Macaca fascicularis: one gene and its partner. The protein of the gene in region 2 purifies or fractionates together with the protein of the main gene of each other region. This does not show direct contact. Links are inferred from orthologs where the notes say so. Each region holds a gene or a part of one and is shown on either strand. Other genes may lie near its edges.

The links.
Region 1: the proteins of PTPN3 (region 2) and SHKBP1 purify together in Homo sapiens (affinity purification with mass spectrometry; 4 studies listed by BioGRID and IntAct, with this or other methods). This does not show direct contact. The link is inferred for Macaca fascicularis from reciprocal best matches to the Homo sapiens genes PTPN3 and SHKBP1.

The regions. Positions count from the first base shown.
Region 1 is NC_088393.1:47,703,027-47,706,774, forward strand, and holds part of SHKBP1 (SH3KBP1-binding protein 1), read left to right. Parts: intron 1-154; coding exon 155-355; intron 356-1,084; coding exon 1,085-1,240; intron 1,241-1,541; coding exon 1,542-1,638; intron 1,639-2,589; coding exon 2,590-2,768; intron 2,769-3,075; coding exon 3,076-3,199; intron 3,200-3,321; coding exon 3,322-3,527; coding exon of another isoform or gene 3,528-3,553; exon of another isoform or gene 3,554-3,563; coding exon 3,564-3,589; 3' UTR 3,590-3,748.
Region 2 is NC_088389.1:48,616,056-48,619,803, reverse strand, and holds the start of PTPN3 (tyrosine-protein phosphatase non-receptor type 3), read right to left. Parts: upstream 2,320-3,748; 5' UTR 2,231-2,319; intron 1,965-2,230; exon of another isoform or gene 1,673-1,964; intron 1-1,672.

The DNA of each region.
Region 1 (3,748 bases), on a different chromosome or scaffold from region 2:
TCCTGACCTCAGGTGATCCACCCGCCTCAGCTTCCCAAAGTGATGGGATTACAGGCGTGAGCCACTGCGCCCAGCCTCTCCTTGCTTTCTGACTGTGTCTCCGTTCTGTGCCTGTTTCTTTCTCTCTGCCCTGGTTTCTGTTTCTGTGGCCCAGGCCCTCTCTTCATCCTTGGCCCCTCACCAGGTGACAGTGGGAACTGGATCGAGATCGCCTATGGCACCAGCTCAGGGGGCGTGCGGGTCATCGTGCAGCACCCAGAGACTGTGGGCTCGGGGCCTCAGCTCTTCCAGACCTTCACTGTGCACCGCAGCCCTGTCACCAAGATCATGCTGTCGGAGAAGCACCTCATCTCAGGTGAGCCTCTGTGGGGTGCTCCAGTGCTGGGAGAGACAGCTCAGATGGGAGTGTGGAGGCAGAAGGATTAGAATTTCCACTGGGGACGGACACTGTGTAGGAAGAGAGCTCTGGTGGAGAGGATTGACCTGGGATGGGACTGTAATTGCAGAAGTGAGAGAATACCATAAGGGGATCGGTCTGGGGAGGAGTCAGTCTGTGTGTGTTCGGGAATCCATCAATTCAGCAAGGATTTATGGGGCACCCACCGTGTGCCAGGCATAGGGGATACATTGATGAACAAGACGGGCCAAGTTCCTGCCCTCATGGAGCTGACATTCTAGCAGGGATGGCAGACAATAAATATATAGAAATGGACATCAATGGCCAGGTGCGGTAGCTCACACTTATAATCCCAGCACTTTGGGAGGCCAAGGTGGGTGGATAGGACAGGAGCAGGGACCTCTGGGAGGGGGGTACTGATATGGTCCAGGCAGGTGACAAAATAGACCAGGACCAGCGTGGGGCAGAGGACAGGGCAAGGTGACATCAGGCTCTGGAACAGTTTTGGAGGCAGAGGCAACAGGGTTTTTAGCATTTGGAATTCTGGGGAGGAAAGGATTCTCTGAAAGGGAAGAACTCAGCAAGGGCTGACCCTCCCGAAGCGGAGCTGTCCTGGGGCTCTGGAGGGGCAGGCAGCATTGATGCGTACAGCAGGCCTGATCTCCTGCTCTCCCTGTGCCCCCTCAGTCTGTGCCGACAACAACCACGTGCGGACATGGTCTGTGACTCGCTTCCGCGGCATGATTTCCACCCAGCCCGGCTCTACCCCACTCGCTTCCTTCAAGATCCTGGCGCTGGAGTCGGCGGATGGGCATGGCGGCTGCAGTGCTGGCAATGACATTGGTGCCTACTGGCTCCTGGCCTTCCCACTCCACTGACCCCCTTACCTGACCCCTGTTGACCTCCACTAATTCCCACTTGTGGCCACCTGACCCAGGAGCCTGCAATGATTGGGTGTCCTGATCCTTGAGGCACCTGAGCTCCACTGACTGCTGCAAGCCCCCAGCCCTCTCTGGCCCTGCCCAACTCCAACAGCCTGGGAATGGGACCCGGGTCTTGGGATGGTGGGTTTCATCAGTGGGGAAGGAAGTCTGAGGCTGAGGGGACCCCAGCTGGCCCTGACCCCTGCCCCTGCCTGGCCCAGGCCCCTACGGCGAACGGGACGACCAGCAAGTGTTCATCCAGAAGGTGGTGCCCAGCGCCAGCCAGCTGTTCGTGCGTCTCTCATCTACTGGGCAGCGGTGAGGACAGTCCTGTCCAACAGGGAGGGAGGTCAGGGGAGAAGGCAAGATGCCAGCCAGGTCACTGAGGCCAGAAAGGGGTCACAGCCAAGGAGCATTGAAAGATCAAAGGCTGGGAGGGAGGACAGGCCTGGTGGGTTTGGGGTGGGAGGTATCAAAGGTGTGATGGGTGTGGGTGGGAGTGACCTGGCGCAGTGCCAGCCCAGTGCAGGCAGGGCCAAGTTGGTTGGAGGCACAGGGGGAGGGGTCAGGGTGGGATGGGGGCACAGGCAGAGGGGTTGGGGTGGAATAGAGGAGACCCAGGGAGCTGTAGGAGCCTGGCTTCAGCTGGGAAAGGGGCCTCAGAGGCTGTTCTGGATGAAGGGACTCTGAGCAGAGACCTAGAGGACAAGTAGGAAGGAGCAGAAGAAAGAAGGGAGGGGAAGGGGGCCCCAGGCTGAGGGAACCGTATGTGCAGAGGCTGAGAAGGGCCAAATAGGGTCACACGGGAAGGACACATGGGCTCCTGGGCTGGAGCACAGGAGGTGAGGATGGGGTGCAGATGCGGGTGGGCCTTGTCAGGCTGTAGAAGGGCTGAAGCTTTGTCCTGTGCGGGGAACTGTGGCCACTGCACGGGGAATGAAAGGAGGCTTGGTGGGAGGCCAGGAGCCCAGGGAGGAGGCCAGGAGGCTGATAGGAGGTGGGGGAGCAGCTGGGACAGGCCTTGGGCTTTCCGTGGCAGTGGGAGCAGGGAAGAGCAGAAGTCTCTGGGAGATTCCCTGGGCATTTGGGGCTGGGGTGTGCAAGAGCTGCTGGACCCTTGGGACTGGAACTCGAGAGAAAAGCGGGCTAGGGATGGATAAAGACTGGGGTGGCCCCTGGGGAGGCAGGAACTGCAGCCACAGTGGTGGGGACTGGGACTAGGAAAGGTGAGAAAGCGAGGGTGACTGCCTTCCCCACTGCCCCCCCCAGGGTGTGCTCCGTGCGCTCCGTGGATGGCTCACCCACTACGGCCTTCACAGTGCTGGAGTGTGAGGGCTCCCGGCGGCTTGGCTCTCGGCCCCGGCGCTACCTGCTCACCGGCCAGGCCAACGGCAGCTTGGCCATGTGGGACCTAACCACCGCCATGGACGGCCTCGGCCAGGCCCCTGGTACTCCCTGTCCCACCCCAATCCCATCCCAAGCCCCACAGCCTCACCCAGAACCACTCTCCACAGCCAACTTCTTGATCTCTCTCCCAGGCCCTTGCCCTCTGACCTCTTTTCCTTTGACCCCCTCTCTGCTCCCCATCCCTTCCTGCCCTTGTTTTTCAACCCCTGTCTCAGCCTCTGGCCCCCGCGCATTGATCTCTGCCTCCTCTCTCCTGTCCTGTCTGTGGGTGCTTGCACTGCAATGCAACCCAGGCCCTTGCCCTATGACCCCTGTCTTGCCCCCTGACCCTGCTTCCGTGCCCCCCAGCAGGTGGCCTGACGGAGCAAGAACTGATGGAACAGCTGGAACACTGCGAGCTGGCCCCACCGGCTCCCTCGGCTCCCTCTCGGGGCTCTCTGCCCAGCCCCTCACCCCGCATCTCCCTCACCAGGTAGCTACAACTCCACTTCCCCTTCTGTGCAATGGAGGGAGAGGGGAGAGTGTGGTGGCTCCAGGGGCAGAGTGGCTCAGCTGCCCTGTGATGACGTGCACTTACTGTCCTTACTTCCTCAGCCTCCACTCAGCCGCCAGCAACACCTCCTTGTCTGGCCACCGCGGGAGCCCAAGCCCCCCACAGGCTGAGGCCCGGCGCCGTGGTGGGGGCAGCTTTGTGGAACGCTGCCAGGAACTGGTGCGGAGTGGGCCGGACCTCCGACGGCCACCCACACCAGCCCCTTGGCCCTCCACCAGTCTCGGCACTCCCCTCACACCTCCCAAGATGAAGCTCAATGAAACTTCCTTTTGAACAACGCAGCTGCAGCTCAATGAAACTTCCTTTTGAACAACGCAGCTGCCATGATGCCTTGGGATGCCCTGGTCCTGGGGGACTCAGGTGCCTCCCTGATTCCTATGGGAACCCTGGGTTCAGGGCCAGGGCCTCCTTGGAATAAATGGTCATTGTTACTAGGTCCCCACCTTCCCTCTTTTCTGGAAGCCAAAG
Region 2 (3,748 bases):
CAGCACTACATCTGCCATATAGAAGTTCAATAAATGCCTCAGCTACTCTGAAATGCCTTCAGTAACTTGACCTTTTACATTCCCCAGCTAATGTCTAATTTGCATATATGAGTCCTTTTCAGGAGATGGCAAATCACTAGAGACAACGCAGGACCAATACAGAGTATTAGGCATGTTCTATTCTACTCTAATTCTCTGCAAATTGGTATTCCATTAACTGCATGTGGGATTTATGGGAGCTCGCTATAAACTAGAATATTTAACTAGAATGGCCTACTCTGTCAGATAATAGCTTACTGTTGTTAATTTTCAACTAGTCAATCTCAAAAAAGTTTCCAACTTCCAATATACTTCACATCTTGATTTAATCATCCGGAAAGTCATCCATATCAAAGCCTCCATACAACAAAGGGGCAGGCAGCTTGATGCAGAAGAAAAAGACCTGCCCTTGGAACCAGGAGACTTGGGTTACACATCCCAGCTCTACCACATACTGTGTAACTGGCTGCTCAGAGCCTCAATGTCCTCATCTGTAAAATGGGAGTGACACCAGCCTCACAAGAGTTGTAAAGATTAAATGAGATGATACAGGTGAATGTACTCTGTAAGTTCTACAAGGTTATGCAAAGGTTAGTTATTACAAAAGCACAAGATGAAATTATCAAACAACTCAGGCTAATGACAAAAAGCATGAATTAAACTGGTGTTTCTAAAGGGGTGCGGGAGTGGCATTTTGCTCCCTAGGGGACATCTGACAATACTGGAAGCATTTTTGGTTGGAACAACTGGGAGACAGGAATTGCTACTGCAATCTACAGACCAGGGATGCTTCTAAATCCTACAATGCCCACGACACAAAGAATTATCAAACCCCAAATGTCAATAGTGCAAGGCTGAGAAACCCTGATCTAAATAATCACTTAAAGTTGGATTTGAGAGCTTTTTAGAACAGAAATCTTCCTAAGCAGGCTTTACTTTCTCCCATCATCTGCTTAAACATTTGCAAGATGGATCATCTTACAAAACAGCTCTTTTGTAAGTGAAGCCAAACTGCCAACTTCTGGAGTTTCTGAATGTATAAAACTGCTTTTAAAGGAGATGCTCTCTGATTACAATTTGGCTAAATTGCTTTTCCGAAGGCCTTGACTTCGGCAGAAGTTCTCCTGGGCACAGAGATAGGGTCTGTCACTCCACCAGTAGGCCGTGAAGATGGTTTCCTAATTCTAATTTCCTGCTGAAATGAGAGCCACGAGGGTCTCTAAACGAATTAAATTCACATCACGCCAACTGCTTGCTAGCTTTGTGCCGGGCACGGTGCCAAACACCTCCACATAATTTATCCCACTTAAGCCACTCAACAACCCAGCGAGGTGGGCATTATTACCAGCTGTTTGCAAGAGAGGAAACTGAGGACCAGCGAGGTTAAACAACTTGCCCAAGGTCACTAGCTGGCCAAAGGGGAGTCCAACTTGAACGGAGGTCTCCAGTTTCCAAGTCACAAGCTCCTTCCGCCAACTCGGAAAACCCAGGTGTCAAGTTGTCTCAACTTCCCATGAATTTTTAAGGCAACGGCAACTTCTCAGTAAGTTTAGGTAGCTGAAAATGGGAATTTCCGGGGGGCTGGGCACTCTCACATACACTCCCCTCTCTGCAGCTGTCTCACCGCAGGTACCTGATAAATCATTCCATATCGCCCGCGGAACGGGGAGGATTTATTGGCGCTGGAGTTTCGTGCCAGGCCCAGGAAATGCCATCTTTGAAAGCCGAGAGGCGGATTCACCCTGGGAGCCAAGCGCTGGCCGCCGCGCTTGGCTGGCTCCCCGCGCGCTGTGCGCCCCCTCGGAGCCCCAAGCCGGGGTCGCGGCGGCGCGGGGTCCTCCGGGGGTGCCGGTGGCACGGGCTCCGCGGGTTGCGCCCGCCCCTGCCCGGCCGGAGCGCACGCCCACGCTCCAGCGCAGCGTCCCGGCAGCCCGCCCGCCCGCCCGGCGGAGCCCCACCCGGCGCCCCGCCCGCGCCCTCCCGCCCCGGCCCCGCCAGGTGAGCGCGGCGGGGCGCCCCCTCCCCGCCCCGACGTGGTGCGGGGACCCGGTGCCGCCGCACCCGCCAGCCCGCCCGCGCGTCCGCCGCGCGCCCCAGGGACGGGTGGGGGCGGGGTGGCGCCGAGCGCGACCCCGGCCCCCGGCAGCCCCGCGCCCTGCCCCTGGCTCGCTGGGGTCGCACTGGCCAGTACCTGAAGCATCCGGGGGCGCAGAGCGCCCAGGTAGGTCGCGCGTGCGGGCGGCGCGGAAGCTCGCTCGCGGCGCGACCTGGCCGCCGTCTGAGCATGCCCAGTGCCGCCCGCGGGCGGTTCCCGCCGGCCGGGCTGGCCGCGAAGGGCCCGCGCGCCGGGCGGGGGGCGGGCGTCCGGGCTGGCCTGCGGTGTTCTCCCGCCCCCGCCCCAGGCTGGCGCGCCCCGACGCATCCCCTGGGGCCACCGGGGCTCTCCGCCGAGCTCCGGGCAGGCCCTGAGTTCCCTCACGCATGCATGCAGCCATTCGTTCCACAACCATGACTGGGCACCTACTGTGTGCCAGGCCCTCAGTGATTTCATGCCTGGGGAAGGCAAGCAGTCGGCGCCCAAAGAAACTTTGAAACGAGGAGTCTTGCACGACGGGTGCGCGGTAGAGCTGAGGTCCCGCTGACTTCCAGTCCAGTGCTCGTCCCGCGGCACTAGTAAGCTTCCCTGGTTAAACCTCCCCAAGGCTCGTGGGACCCCTACCTGGTCTGTGCTCCCGCTTCCCACTTCCGCCTCATCTCACACCTGCCTTCCTGAGGATCCTAGAGCACCTTTCTGTCCATCAGACTCTGGAACTTCACCAGCCTCAGGACATTGGCGCGCGCCTTTCCCTCTGTGGGACGTTCTTACCCAGCTTTTCACGTGGCCGGCGCCTTCTCATTGTACATAGGTCCCCTCCTCAGAGAGGCCTTTCCTGACCACCTTCCTCGATTAGCCCTCTGCTCCTGGCCACTCCATGTACTTTATTTTCTTCATAGCATTTAACACGATTTATCCATTATCAGCAAATATTTATTGAGCACCTATTCTGGTTCTTCTCGCGTGGTGAACAAATAGACAAAAATTCTGTCCCCCCGTGGAGTTTGGGGAAAGAGGGACTGGTAACAGATAAACAGCAAATTAGCCAACTGTGCGTTATATTAGAAAGTGATAAGTTCTAAGAGGGAAAAAGAGCAGGGTCAGGAGGTTTGGGGGTGGAGGTAAGTAGTGAATTTTCAGTGAAGCAGTCGGATAGGGCCCTTGAGCTGATGGGCGGTCTGATCGGGTGACACTGAGAAGGTGATAGTAGTATTTCAGCCACGCAGATAAGCGGGTAAGAGCATTCCTGGCCGAGGGAACAGCCAGTGCAAAGACCCAAAAGGGCGCCGGACCGCTTAGGGAACGGCAAGGAGGCAGAGGAGCAGATGAGATCTGTCACTTTGGCTTTTCCTCCGATTTGTTTAATTCTCATGTTGTATTTCCCTCCTGAATGTCAGCTTTGGGGCTGTAGCTCTGCTTGTCTTTACTGCAGGGACCCCCCTGCGACACCGTCTGGCACACAGTAGGCGCTCAAACATTATTTGTTGAATATGTGAACGAAGGGATGCAGAGATGGCTGGAACCCTCCAGTCGGGCCTGGGTGCCAGGTCCTGGGGGCGGTCGTTCCAGGGATAGACTGAGGCCCCGGCAACCCCTAGAAGCTCATTTCGGTCC